4 linked regions of the Kluyveromyces lactis genome follow. The protein of the gene in region 4 interacts with the protein of the main gene of each other region in a biochemical or structural test. Links are inferred from orthologs where the notes say so. Each region holds a gene or a part of one and is shown on either strand. Other genes may lie near its edges.

What was found.
Region 1: the proteins of UBI4 (region 4) and REV1 are reported together in a solved structure, tested with the Saccharomyces cerevisiae proteins (2 studies listed by BioGRID, with this or other methods). The link is inferred for Kluyveromyces lactis from reciprocal best matches to the Saccharomyces cerevisiae genes UBI4 and REV1.
Region 2: the proteins of UBI4 (region 4) and CUZ1 form a complex in vitro, tested with the Saccharomyces cerevisiae proteins (2 studies listed by BioGRID). The link is inferred for Kluyveromyces lactis from reciprocal best matches to the Saccharomyces cerevisiae genes UBI4 and CUZ1.
Region 3: the proteins of UBI4 (region 4) and RQT4 form a complex in vitro, tested with the Saccharomyces cerevisiae proteins (2 studies listed by BioGRID). The link is inferred for Kluyveromyces lactis from reciprocal best matches to the Saccharomyces cerevisiae genes UBI4 and RQT4.

The regions. Positions count from the first base shown.
Region 1 is NC_006042.1:2,180,751-2,184,785, forward strand, and holds REV1 (deoxycytidyl transferase), read left to right. Parts: upstream 1-1,235; coding exon 1,236-3,725; downstream 3,726-4,035. Other genes in the region: pyruvate kinase PYK2, read right to left, coding at 4,001-4,035. UniProt on the Saccharomyces cerevisiae protein: Deoxycytidyl transferase involved in DNA repair. Transfers a dCMP residue from dCTP to the 3'-end of a DNA primer in a template-dependent reaction.
Region 2 is NC_006040.1:935,478-938,175, reverse strand, and holds CUZ1 (Cuz1p), read right to left. Parts: upstream 1,314-2,698; coding exon 501-1,313; downstream 1-500. Other genes in the region: GPA2 (guanine nucleotide-binding protein subunit alpha), read left to right, coding at 2,438-2,698. UniProt on the Saccharomyces cerevisiae protein: Promotes efficient arsenite-induced clearance of stress granules (SGs). May have a role in the ubiquitin-proteasome system (UPS) protecting cells from metalloid-induced proteotoxicity.
Region 3 is NC_006042.1:1,284,802-1,288,147, reverse strand, and holds RQT4 (Rqt4p), read right to left. Parts: upstream 1,998-3,346; coding exon 501-1,997; downstream 1-500. Other genes in the region: GSM1 (Gsm1p), read left to right, coding at 1-390.
Region 4 is NC_006041.1:74,448-77,567, forward strand, and holds UBI4 (ubiquitin), read right to left. Parts: upstream 1,647-3,120; coding exon 501-1,646; downstream 1-500. Other genes in the region: ECM29 (Ecm29p), read left to right, coding at 1-237. UniProt on the Saccharomyces cerevisiae protein: Ubiquitin exists either covalently attached to another protein, or free (unanchored).

The sequences.
Region 1 (4,035 bases), on a different chromosome or scaffold from region 4:
GAAAGGGGAAAAACGTATTATAGTTCACATTCCAGCCCATTTTCAAACTGGTCGTTAGGAAATACGTATGTTAGGGTGCACCCATTCTGGAAACGCTGCCTATATCTTTCGTGGACGGGAAGAGGATAAGGAACGTTTCATCTTAACTCCTGCCAGCTTCCGCTCATGGACAGTGTGTTTTTGGGTTCATCCGTAGGGGAATGGCACCACTTAGTGCTCTGGCGTGCGTTTTAATCCTGTTCAACATGCTTTTCAGTGGAAGGGTGTGAAAAGGGCCAAACATGCAATCGCCGCAGTAGATAAAACGTCGGATAAACCTTACATAGGAAGCTCAATGAATGGGAAAATATTATGCTCAGAATGGGAATTTTGCGTCAAGATGCGTGGGAAGTGGTGTGGTTTTTCCTACTGAGCTTTCTACTGAGTATTTCCAGCTGCTCATCTCGGAAAAACTAAGACAAAAAAAAGAAAATAGAAGACGTACAAAGTGCTTTGCGGAAAAACATTTTGTTTTTCTGCTGCGTGTTTGTCTTTGGTTTTTGGGTTCAGATTCGGATAAACAACCGTCGTTTATTGCATGCTTTCTATCGCTTCTACGGCAAACCTGTGCCCCTGGTATATGTGGCACCATACGTCTCCCAATAGACACCTTTCAATTTTCATAGCTTAGCGAGGGGTTGGATATCAACAACAATAACCGGACTGTTTATCTTTTTTTTATTGATCTACCGGTTCTTTTAGAACGATTACGTCCAACTGGTCAACGTTTTTGTCTTTGTATGGTGAAAATCTTGAAAAAAAATCCACTTAGAAAAAAAAAGGAAGCAGTCAAACATTTTTCCCCCTGGAACCATTTTTTGAAGCTTTACAAAAAGAGTAGTAGAAAATATGGGAAGAGGTTGAATATTACTGTGATTTGCTTGGTAACATTGGTTTCCCGTCGTGTCTGTGCGTGTGTGTATATCGGTCATTGTCTGATTTCAATAACTTATAAACAAAGTTAGGGAAAAATCGAGACTACGCGGACTCTGAACAGCGGAGGAGTTCTACACATCAATATACGGACACAAATGTACTTCTAGAAAGTACCTTGCTATAACAATAGTGTATCTATCAGATTCCAGCCCTTGTGTTATCAATAATCAGCTTGAGCATTTATTTTCCTTTTGTCCTTATCTGGTCATTGACGGAGACTTCAGAGTTCTGGACTGGTTTTACTCATAACTCCGAATGCCATGAACAATAAAGAGGAGGAGCAAGACGTAACTGCAAGTTTCAACAGAAATGAACCAGATATAGCATCCTCCTCGAGTGTTGGATATTCAGGGTATGGAGAATATTTTCATAATAAGGAACTTCAACAGTTGGAAAGTGATGTTCAATTCAGACAGAAATATCAAAAAGAACATCGAGTTTCAAATCCTACACTTTTTCAAGGGTGTACTATCTATGTGAATGGACGTACGAATCCAACTCGATTTCAACTCCATAAACTAATTATTTTACATGGTGGGACTTTCAAGCATTACCTTAGTGGGAAGACTGCAGTCACCCATATACTTGCAACAGAGTTAAATGCATCCAAGAAATCATCTTTTGCCAATTTCAAGGTTGTCAGCCCCGAATGGGTTACTGAGTCTATTGCTCGAGGGAAGCTTTTACCATGGCAAGACTTTAGAATTGTCCAAGTTTCCAGATTACAGGGAAAGATTACAGATTTCGCAACAGTACGGAACTGTATGGATCCGAACTTCATTAATGCTTTTTTCAAATCCTCAAGACTACACCATTTATCGAACTGGAAATTCCAGTTAAGAGATAACTTCGTGAAAGAATTCATTTTGTCATATAACGACACAATTCCTGATCAAAAATATGTGTATTTCCACATTGACTTTGATTGCTTCTTTGCCCAAGTGTCTGCTAAAATCGATGGTAAATACGATATACATGCCACACCTATCGCTATTTCTCATGGTATCAACAATTCTGATATATCCAGCTGCAATTATGTGGCTCGTTCTTTTGGTGTTTATAACGGTATGTGGGTATCATCTGCTTTGAAACTATGCCCGGACTTGAAAATATTAGATTATGAATTTGATGAATATGAAGCAATTTCAAATTTATTCTACAGCGCTCTAAAAGATATTGGAATCTTCAAAATGGTATTGCCAATTTCTATAGATGAAGCAATAGGTTGCATGTTGATTACCCCCGATATTACCTCTGAATTGTTAACTCAAAAATGCATGCAAGTGAGAAATGCCGTCTATAATGTTACTCAAGGATACTCTGTCAGTGTTGGGTGCGGGCCATCCGTATTGCTAGCTCGTTTAGCCCTAAGGAAAGGGAAACCAAACGGGTTCCATATTTCTTGGTTTGATACTGTTACTGAATGCCATGCATTCATAGATCACTTTAAGTTAAAAGATCTTCCTGGTATTGGTTATAGCACAGATCTGAAAATAAAAGAACAATTTGGAAATGTTCAAAACATCTCTGACTTAAGAGATCTTTTAGAAAGGCCAAGCAACGTTTCTAAACTAATAAAAGTGATTGGTTCCAAAAATACCAAGAAACTTCAGATTTACCTTGATGGTAAAGATGACGACGAATCCATAAGTATGGTAAAGGATCCTCATACGTACTTTCAAAAGAAATCCCTCTCAGTAGAAATAAATTATGCCATAAGGTTTAAGACCATAGACGATGTTGATATTTTCCTTGAACGGCTCGCACTCCATTTATGGGAAAAACTTAGGGATTCAAATTTAATGACAAGACAAATAACTTTGAAATTAATGAAGAGAGCTCAAGGCGCACCTGTAGATCCACCAAAATTCATGGGTATGGGTAAATGTGACGCTCTTAGTAAAGTCAGTAACTTAGGAACTAATACACAAAAATTTGGTACAATTGCTTCGGAATGTAAAACTTTATTTAGAATCTTAAGTGTTCCTCCAGAGGAAGTTAGAGGAATTGGTATTCAATTTCACAGGTTAACTGATTCGAACCAAAAAGTGGGGCAAAAGTCGGAACAAAGGGAAATTACGACTGATTTATTTAGAAAACGAGACCATCCGGATGATGACATCACTAACGAACCCTCCAAAGTAGCCGAGCCACATACTCCAGTTAACCCAACATATACTTCTCCCGTAAAAAACTATTGGGATCGCCATCTAAAGCGAAGTATCACCCCATTTCAATATGACTTTCCTGACCAACTCGATCCTGAATTTATGTCCAATTTACCCAAAGATGTTCAAGAAGAGATTACATCTCATCATAAGGTTGTTAAAAAAGCCAATCGTTCTTTGAGAACAAAATTGTACGATGATCCCAGAAAGCAAATTAAGCAGACGCAAGATTTACACTTCATACACGATGGGAGGCTTGTTCCGCAGCTTTCGTTCCAGGGATTAAGTTCTGCGAAACAGATTTCTGAAACTCTTATCGACTGGGTGGACGCCACAGTGGAGGATGGCCCCCATGAAAAAGATCTTGAGTTATTCACTAGCTATCTTGATAAGTTAGCGGAGCAAGGCAGATGTCATATTATACTACATTTGATTAAAACCATAAAAAATAGGGTTGATGATCACTACAACGCGAATCATGAAGGTTTAGAGCAATGGGAATACTTCTTGATTCGTCGACTAATTCCTATATTAAATAAAGCAAAACCTGATGTGAAGTTCAACTTAGTGTTTGATTTATAATTGAATATCCATCTAATACTTGTTGGGATGAAAGCATGCATGATCATTGCGCCCAATTTTTTTAATTAGTAATTACTCTTTCCATGCACTCATTTGTTTATTAATTATTCATCTTTCGACACAACGTAAGTATAATAGTAGAGTACAATCTAATTGTCTTTTTCTTTACCTAAAATATATATATTAATTAGAAAATGTTTGTCTATGGCTTCATAAGTTGCATAATCAAGTCTAATGGTGATCGACAAGATTTTAGTCCAATTTTACCCAGTATCTTAAACGGTCAAGACACGTAGAGTGTTGGAGTTAC
Region 2 (2,698 bases), on a different chromosome or scaffold from region 4:
TCGGAAATTGTATTTGTCACATAACGAGTCCTAGTGTAATTACGGCGAGTATTAATTGTCTTCTTGAGATGTCAGTATAATGCACAGAAGCAACTAGAAACAATGCTCGAGCGTACAAAGTCGATTGAGAGCCTACCTTAAAATCCCCAGCCACCAAATTATCTTGGTTTAGTCACCTTGACCGGGCCACTCTTTGGCAGATTAATACTTACGTTCTTTGTGAGAAATCACTGCGGCCGCAGGGTATTTCCAAATGTAAGAACCGTCCATATTTGCCGCAGTTGCTATTACCCGGATTTGTAGCTTGGGCGAAACGCACTCGGCTGGTACCATGTCTGTAGCTTGATGCAGTAATGTTTCGACAACTTAATCTGTCACGTGACAAGTGTCATTGTGTTTGACTGTAAGACGTAATTACGAAACTACATGAACTATGCTATAAGTAAAGACCAAAAGAATGTGCTATTTTATCCTTCAGATTCCATTACGCGGCGTTGCAATCATCGACCTAACCCTCTTACCAAATATAAAGTATCACCTTCCTGGATGGTGGCATTGACTCGCGCACTCGAGGGTAATAGATGCTGAGTAGAAGCATCACCTTTGTACAAAAATAACTTCTCATCTGTTGATATCGAATGGTCGATGTTTGAATTTTTCACGTTTAGCACAGATGCCAAGGAATCCAAAGCTCTTCCAATTGGCCACATCTTATTTATGAACACTTCATTCGCGATGGGTTTCTTATCCGAAGAGTCCGCCACCACGTAACACCATGCGTATATTCTATTTGCGACAGGGATAGAATCATCTCCCTTTGCAGTGCGCTTCATCTTAGTGACTTGTATTAGCTTATTGGCAGAAGAAAATTTGGTAGTAGATTTCTTACTCTCGAATAATTTACCGTTCTTGGCGAAAAAATGCCGTAGTTTATCGATAGCTACACGAGAACTGGAGGTTTTACTGTTGAAAAGCTTCGATTTTAGGTTATCTACCGGTGGTTTCGAGTTATCCTCTTGCATCATGGTCTTTATCCGATCTGGTGCTCTGGCAGGTAACAAAGATTGAAAGAAGCTACCACCATTGTCCTTCTTCGGAGTGACAGCAGCAGCAGCAGCAGCAGGAATACTAACTGTGACACTGCTGCGGCTATTCTTACCTATCTTCAGTGATTCACAGTGATGATCTTCCTTCAATCTATGGTTGGCACAAAAATCACCGTTGCAAGCAGAACAATGGAACGGTAGGAAATCAGTCTGTCGACAAAACGAACAGTGTGTGCCGACATCTAGCATACCAACTTCTTTAGTCATTGTTTATCAACTGTATTATTTCTTCTTTTAGCCCTTGATCAGTCTTGGTCCCGGACCTGGAGTTCTATAAAACACAAATAACACAAATCGATATCAAAGTGAGAAACTCATCCCAAGTGGCAAACAACCTGTGTATATTATCGGCCTTGCCAGGTGCTCTTTATATATATAAGCGATATGACAAATACGTCCCGCCATCCATATCATAGCCAGTGATGATCTCTGCCTTACTCATCTTCATTTTACACAAGTCTATGAGAGAATACTGTGGAAGATGCCAGCAAAATCACGTGACAAATGTATTTATAATATTCGGGTAACGAGTGTTCCTGTCTCAATGTGTCAATTACAGCTACTCTTAATAGTAACACAAACGGAGCTATTCCAATGGTCTTCTCTCCTATACAGTACATTCAGCCGAGGCTACAGGTTTATTCTTTACATAAATGTTGTTCTCCAGTGATCATGCTGGGTGTCTCCAGAAGTTTTTCCACTCGAGTTTCTAATCACCATGTAGAAACTGACATCTCTTCGAAAGGCTTGTCAGTCCCAATTGTAAAGAGTGTATATTCAGTTTCTACGAGAAGGGAAAACCACTTGGAAAATCCATCAGTTGGAATGGATAGCTGAGGTATTAATATTTTGCAATTTTTTGCATGTTCAAACTACCCACATAACGAGCATGGTATTTAAGGGAGCACAGTTCCAGCTGAAACAACTCGTAATAATAAGGATCTTAGTAATTCCTAGTTCCCCTTTCTTATATTTCAAATACTCCCTATATAATACCGACCAACTTCTGTCTGACAGCCGACAACAAAGTGGTCTACCGATTGCATATCACATCATTTTAACCACAGCGTATCCTTCACAAACCAGCGTAGAAACCAGTTTTCACCATTTTTTTCGTTTCTTTGAGCAGGTTAACATTATTGAAAAATCATATAACGTTTGATTTGAAAGAACTTTACGAAAGGAAAAGGACAGGGAAAATTCTAAGAACAGGTGTTGGTATATTCTGAAATAGAACGTCTAAGAAATCACTAAGTTTCCAACCAATTTAGGAAAGCTGAGCGACCATATTTGCATAGCGTGCTGGGAAAAGAAAAAGGTTAGCTGACGATATGGGTTTATGTGCCTCAAAGGATTCTCGGGAGTCGACTCACGATGGGGGTCCCAGAGTGAATCGTCCCGGTGCAAACGATGCTAACAGGCGGAATGATGTTAGGAAAGGAGCTGGTGACAAGAAGCAGGACAAGAAGAATAAAAAGGCTAAAGGTTCTATCGTAAATGCTGCTTCGAATATTAATAATAGCAGTAGTGGTAAGACCAAAATCAGTACTGTATCGGAAGACGGTACTGTAAGTAACGGCGTAGGTAATACT
Region 3 (3,346 bases), on a different chromosome or scaffold from region 4:
GCCAAACTTGTAAATTGTACCCCAATGTGTATATGGAGAAGGTCAGGGGAGATATGCTTTGCTTCTAATGAATTTATATCCCTTACCGGGTTCAACAAAAAGGAGATTTTAAACAAACGAAAGTTTATCATGGAATTCATGGACAATGAAAGCATAGTAGATTACTATGATATATTCCATGAGTATTTGGCATTTGGTTCAACTCAAAGTGGGCCCTTCAATTCATCGACCGGAACTTCTGATGGTCAGGCTATTTTTAGCGAATGTAACCTTTTGTTAAAGAATGGATGCTATCTACGGTGTGCATGTATTTGGACAGTTAAAAGAGATGCATTTAATATTCCAATGTTAATAATGGGCCAGTTCTTACCAATTTTCGATATTGAATGATAGTCGAATTGTTCCAACCGTAACGCTTGCTCGATATGTAACTATATATAAATTTTCCAACACATTTATTTATTGATTATGGAAACATCGGCGGTCCGGGCAGACAAATTTCACAAAATTGCCAAAATGCTATCTTGAAGTGATGGTCTATCATCAATACCTACTTGGACACGATGAACTTCATTTGATACCTTTTTAGGAGCAGATTCTTTTTCTTCCTCAGCGTTTGCTATGTATACAGGTTTCTTAAACTCCGACTGCGCCTTGTTATAATCCCAAACATTGTTTGTTAACTTGGAACTCTCCTTCTGTTTTTGTTGATTTATCTCTAACTTCAAATTCTTGATATCTTCCAAGTCTTGGAGATCTTCTTCATCGCTAATATCATCTATTTCATCATCACTAGTTGCATTCGTTTTTTTGCTGCTCTTTCTAACTGCTTCTGTCATAACAACTTTACCATCCTTACCGATCGTCAAGTCCAAGACGACCTTTTCACGCCTTCCATTGCGTTCATTCTCAATCTTTTCCCATTTTCGTAAATTTCTTTGCTGTTTCTTTAGTTGTAATGCTCTTTCGTAAGCAGAACCCCACATGACATCTTCATTCATAGCGAAATCACTAGCATTGTCAATGATCTTGGTTCTTTCAGCACTGGTATCCTGGAAATGAAGTAGCTTGTCGAGTCGATTTCGTGCTTCAATAAGTTGTTCATCCTCCTCTTCTTCCTTTGACTCCCCATTCAATATTTGTTGTCGTTTAATCTCTCTCTCTTGTTCCCGATCTTTCTCCACTCTTTGTAGCATTTTCTCTTGTTCTTGCCATAAATTTGTGCCTGCACCAGATTTAATCTTATATTTCTTGGTTTGCTTCGGCTTGGGCTTGTTCTCTTCAACTTTCTGAAGCTCTATTTGTTCTCTCTCTAACCGTAGCAATTCTAAGATTTGTTCGCGTTCCTTAGCTGGGATTAATTCAGCTCCGCAAAAGCTGCAATTGTTCATATGCAAACCTTCTTTGACACATATTATTTTGCCACATGACAGACAGTTTGGTGCAGGATCGAATATTGGGTGCCTTGTTCCCTGGCAATTGCATTTATATTGACCGGAATCCCCAGAGACTGACCTCATCTCCAACATCTTTAACACATCATCGATATCCTTCAATGAATCTAATCTGACTTCTTTACTCTCTTTCCCCGAATCCTTTTTCACAGCCTTGGCAGTCGGTACCTTTTTTAATTCTCTATTCAATATCGGTTTCGTTGCTTGAATAGACTTGTTGGCGAACTCGGCCCTGGAATCATTGGTTTTCACAGTATTAATCAATGGAGATATCACTTTTTTAGTATTGGTTGTTTCGTTCACTATTGGTTTCTTGACAGCCGTTTTACGGGGCAATTCCATGAGCCTCTCATTGAACTCAAATATGAAATGTACCGATGAGTCGTCTTGCCCTAAAAGATCAAAAAAGGATTGGGCTATCTGTTCAGGGTTGTTGCCTTCTTTTATCGTCTGTTCACATAGATCTTTGATCTGTTCTGTATCTAGTGGCAAAATGTTGGGCAATTCCTTTATAGCATACTCAATAGCATCCTCTTTCGTCATTGTGACTGTTTTGGCAATATTATTCCAGTGCTATGTATATCCTTTTACTGTGTTGTTTGGATACGAGTAGTTACTTTCTCAGTTGCTAAGGCTCATCTCTCAATATTAGACTTTTTCACTTTAAAAGATGAGAGTTCTCAAGTTATGAAAGAAAAGGTGGAACCGATCAGCCAACAAGAGGTCTATTGTAACAATTGGGTGGCTGTCCAGGTGATCTCATGAAGAATCATAGACTCGAGAACTTGGATCGAAAGTAGCAGCTTCGGAAGCTTTACTGTCAAATGGTTGTTAACGTCACATTATCTTGGACTGACAGACATTAATACCCGAACCTTTCTATAACTATATATAAATCTAAACGGTATAGTTACTGCTGGTGCCACAGCCCAGAAGCTGGGTACTACTCTAAGTAACCGAAGTTCCTGGATATTGACACTTATTAAGCAGTGCAGTGAGTAGGACGAGCTGCATGGGCAAGATGAGCAGTATATTGCTTATAAGTTCGACTCAAAAGATCCCACTTGGATGAACAGATTTACATTTCATATAAACTGATTCTCGACTAGGCAATATACACCATGAAGGGCCCCAAATATCTGCAACATGCTTGTCTGGTCAACGATATCTTACCTGGTAAAACCCTAAATCAATTATAATAGTAGAGACGTATGTCCGGGTAATCTTTCCGATCAATAGTATAAAAGTGGCAAATTTTTCAACACTTTGAACCTCTTTCAAACACTCTTACAGTTCAAAGATTGGAAAATCTTTTTGATGTTTGTTCTTAATAAACCAATCATCAGTAGTGGTTAGTACTATCTCAAGATAATATTAATACACATATACACCATAGAAACCTACGGTTTCGGTTATCTCTTTTCTCAAGAAGTTTTTCCTAGGTTTCTTCGGAGATCTAGGAACGGCTTTAGTTAATACTGGAGAAGAGTGACTGTTACCATTTTTTAACCCATAGCTGAATGGATCCTGACTAGCCCCAAACAAGCTGGCCACAGTTTCCATTTCGTTTCCGGTTTCTTAGATCAATAAAGTTGGAAGCGCATTGAGTTGGGAGGGGAAGTCTCTTCCTTTTCCCGGTTTTTTGCATCACTTCTTTCTTTTAACCATTATGAAGAGGTCTGGAAAGTGATGATTAGAAGCGGTTTAACAGCTCGCTCTAGTTGTTCTTCCAGGTGTTGCATGTGATCCAGAGGGCTTTGCGTAATGGCTGCCTGAGAGTTTGGATTTTCACTCTCCGTTGTGCCCTTCTTCATGATGGAACAGTTTTCCCATCTTCTAGAGAATTTTTGTATTAATTAGTTGTAGACATAAATCAGCTTCATCAACCACTG
Region 4 (3,120 bases):
TCCTCAAATGATGTATCTCACATTTTCATTGATATCTGGAAATATGGCCACGCTCTATGCAACAAGAAAGAAGTTATTGAAAGTGTCAAGATAAAGCTGATAAGGTATGGTGGGCTATTGAAAGAAAAGTTCCCCCACACCAATACCATGGTCGACTTTGGCATTTTGGAGATTCTTAGAGTGGATGACTCCTCAGTATTGAAAGCTGAAGCTTTAAATATTGGAATATCTCAGTAGAAATTGCCAACGGATGATATATTACTATCTTCTACTATTTATAACATTATCATAGTTGTTATGTATCTCTGAAAATGTATATAATATATACAAGACCCTAAACTTTTTATCCAAAGAATGTAAGGAAAAAAAAAAAATGCAAAAAAAAAAAAAATTGAATTGAGTATAAATGATACAACGGCTTTGCGTGGTCTCAAGCTCGTTAATAAACTCCCTATCGAGTTTCACTCCAGTAATCGGAAATATGAAATAAATCTTTACCATTAGATGCCACCTCTTAATCTCAAGACAAGATGTAAAGTGGATTCCTTTTGGATGTTATAGTCAGACAAGGTTCTGCCATCTTCCAACTGCTTACCTGCAAAAATTAATCTTTGTTGGTCTGGAGGAATACCTTCTTTGTCTTGAATCTTAGACTTGACGTTATCGATGGTGTCGGAAGATTCGACTTCCAAAGTGATGGTCTTACCAGTCAAGGTTTTGACGAAAATTTGCATACCACCTCTTAATCTCAAGACAAGATGTAAAGTGGATTCCTTTTGGATGTTATAGTCAGACAAGGTTCTGCCATCTTCCAACTGCTTACCTGCAAAAATTAATCTTTGTTGGTCTGGAGGGATACCTTCTTTGTCTTGAATCTTAGACTTGACGTTATCGATGGTGTCGGAAGATTCGACTTCCAAAGTGATGGTCTTACCGGTTAAGGTTTTGACGAAAATTTGCATACCACCTCTTAATCTCAAAACAAGATGCAAAGTGGATTCTTTTTGGATGTTGTAATCGGACAAGGTTCTGCCATCTTCCAACTGCTTACCTGCAAAAATTAATCTTTGTTGGTCTGGAGGGATACCTTCTTTGTCTTGAATCTTAGACTTGACGTTATCGATGGTGTCGGAAGATTCGACTTCCAAAGTGATGGTCTTACCGGTTAAGGTTTTGACGAAAATTTGCATACCACCTCTTAATCTCAAAACAAGATGCAAAGTGGATTCTTTTTGGATGTTGTAATCGGACAAGGTTCTGCCATCTTCCAACTGCTTACCTGCAAAAATTAATCTTTGTTGGTCTGGAGGGATACCTTCTTTGTCTTGAATCTTAGACTTGACGTTATCGATGGTGTCGGAAGATTCGACTTCCAAAGTGATGGTCTTACCAGTCAAGGTTTTGACGAAAATTTGCATACCACCTCTTAATCTCAAGACAAGATGTAAAGTGGATTCCTTTTGGATGTTATAGTCAGACAAGGTTCTGCCATCTTCCAACTGCTTACCTGCAAAAATTAATCTTTGTTGGTCTGGAGGGATACCTTCTTTGTCTTGAATCTTCGATTTCACGTTATCGATGGTGTCAGAAGATTCAACTTCCAAAGTGATAGTCTTACCAGTTAAAGTCTTAACGAAAATTTGCATGTTTTCTCTTGATCTAGTTTTAAGGGGAATGAGAGGGGGGGGGGTAAATAATTTGGGGTGAAATAGTATAACCTTGAGTCAGTATCTTCTATGAGAGAAACTCTTGATGCTCCTTCTTAACCAATATGATGTTGTTAATAATATCAGGAAACAAACTGCCAAAATAACCCTTTTGTTTTTATATATACTCCCTTTTTTTTTTAAAAAAAAAGGAACTTGTTCGCTTATTTCTTTTATTTTATCTCCCTATCAGTTCTTACTAATAACGGAGAATATAGCACAAAAAATGAAAATAAGAACAATAATGATAGCTGCTATGCTGTCCAAACTTTCAGAATAGATATATGAATGCGATATAGGTAGTAATAGTATCTAACCCGAATAATATCTTAGAAAAAGATAAACGTATTTAGAGAATAAACGGGGGAAAGAACAATCAGAAGTGGCAAATACGAGAGAAAAAAAGGCGGCCGCCCAAGTGATCACTATTTATATAAAAGCATCCAGTGTAATCAGTTTCGCTCGGCCTAAGGTGGCCGTTTGAAAAGAAAAATTTCCCGAGAGGGAATTCGATGGAAAACCGGCAGTTTGGAATCTGTTACGTTGCAGCCATCTCTGTATTTCAGCCTTGTATCTTTAACTGTTTGCAATGAATCTTTTCTCCGGCTTACAGATCGCCATGACTTGAGGTTTATGATTGCATGACGAAGAGCGGGGATATATGGAATGAACTGCTAACTTTGATTGTTCAGAGTAAAGAGCATACCGCTTTGTATCCACTGATACCTTCTGCAGTACAGTGTGTATATGCAGAGGTAACCATGGAAACTCATGGAACAATGAAGTTTATCCTTTTTTTTTAGACTTGCGGGGAGAATCTAAGATACAGACAGACGAAAAAAGTGACTCGAAGTCATCCACGTGATTAAATCAGGGTAACATACATCATATTTTATCTGCCTGGCTTCTCCTAAATTCATTCTTGACCTTTCAGATGCTCCCGGAACATACCCAGGCCAAATATCTCTGTCATTGAGGTTCCTGGCGGGATAATTCGGACTGCCCAGAATCTCTTCGATATTACTTGTCTTATAGTCCTAGATGACACTTTTTTTTCGACTCTTTTTATGATAGCGGTGTTCTTAACGCCTTTGTCGTATACTCAGGTGACACTTTCCATCATATTGAGCTGTATGGTCTTTCTCCATTCAGCATCCGAGGAAAGGGACTTCATTAAGTAAGGAGTCCAAGAAGTTCTCTGATAGGCATGTAGGCTGCCGTAGGCGATTGAGCGGCATTTAATTTAGTCGAATTTAGAAGAAAATGCAACAATTTCTGTACTTTTTTCTCGTATCGATAGTGAAAAGGGGAGACAGCACAAACAAAAACAGGAATTTTTTTTTAGGCAAAAGTAAATAGTACAACTACTAATGGGGTTACATTTGCATTATATCAGTTAGCTTTAAGTATTGAT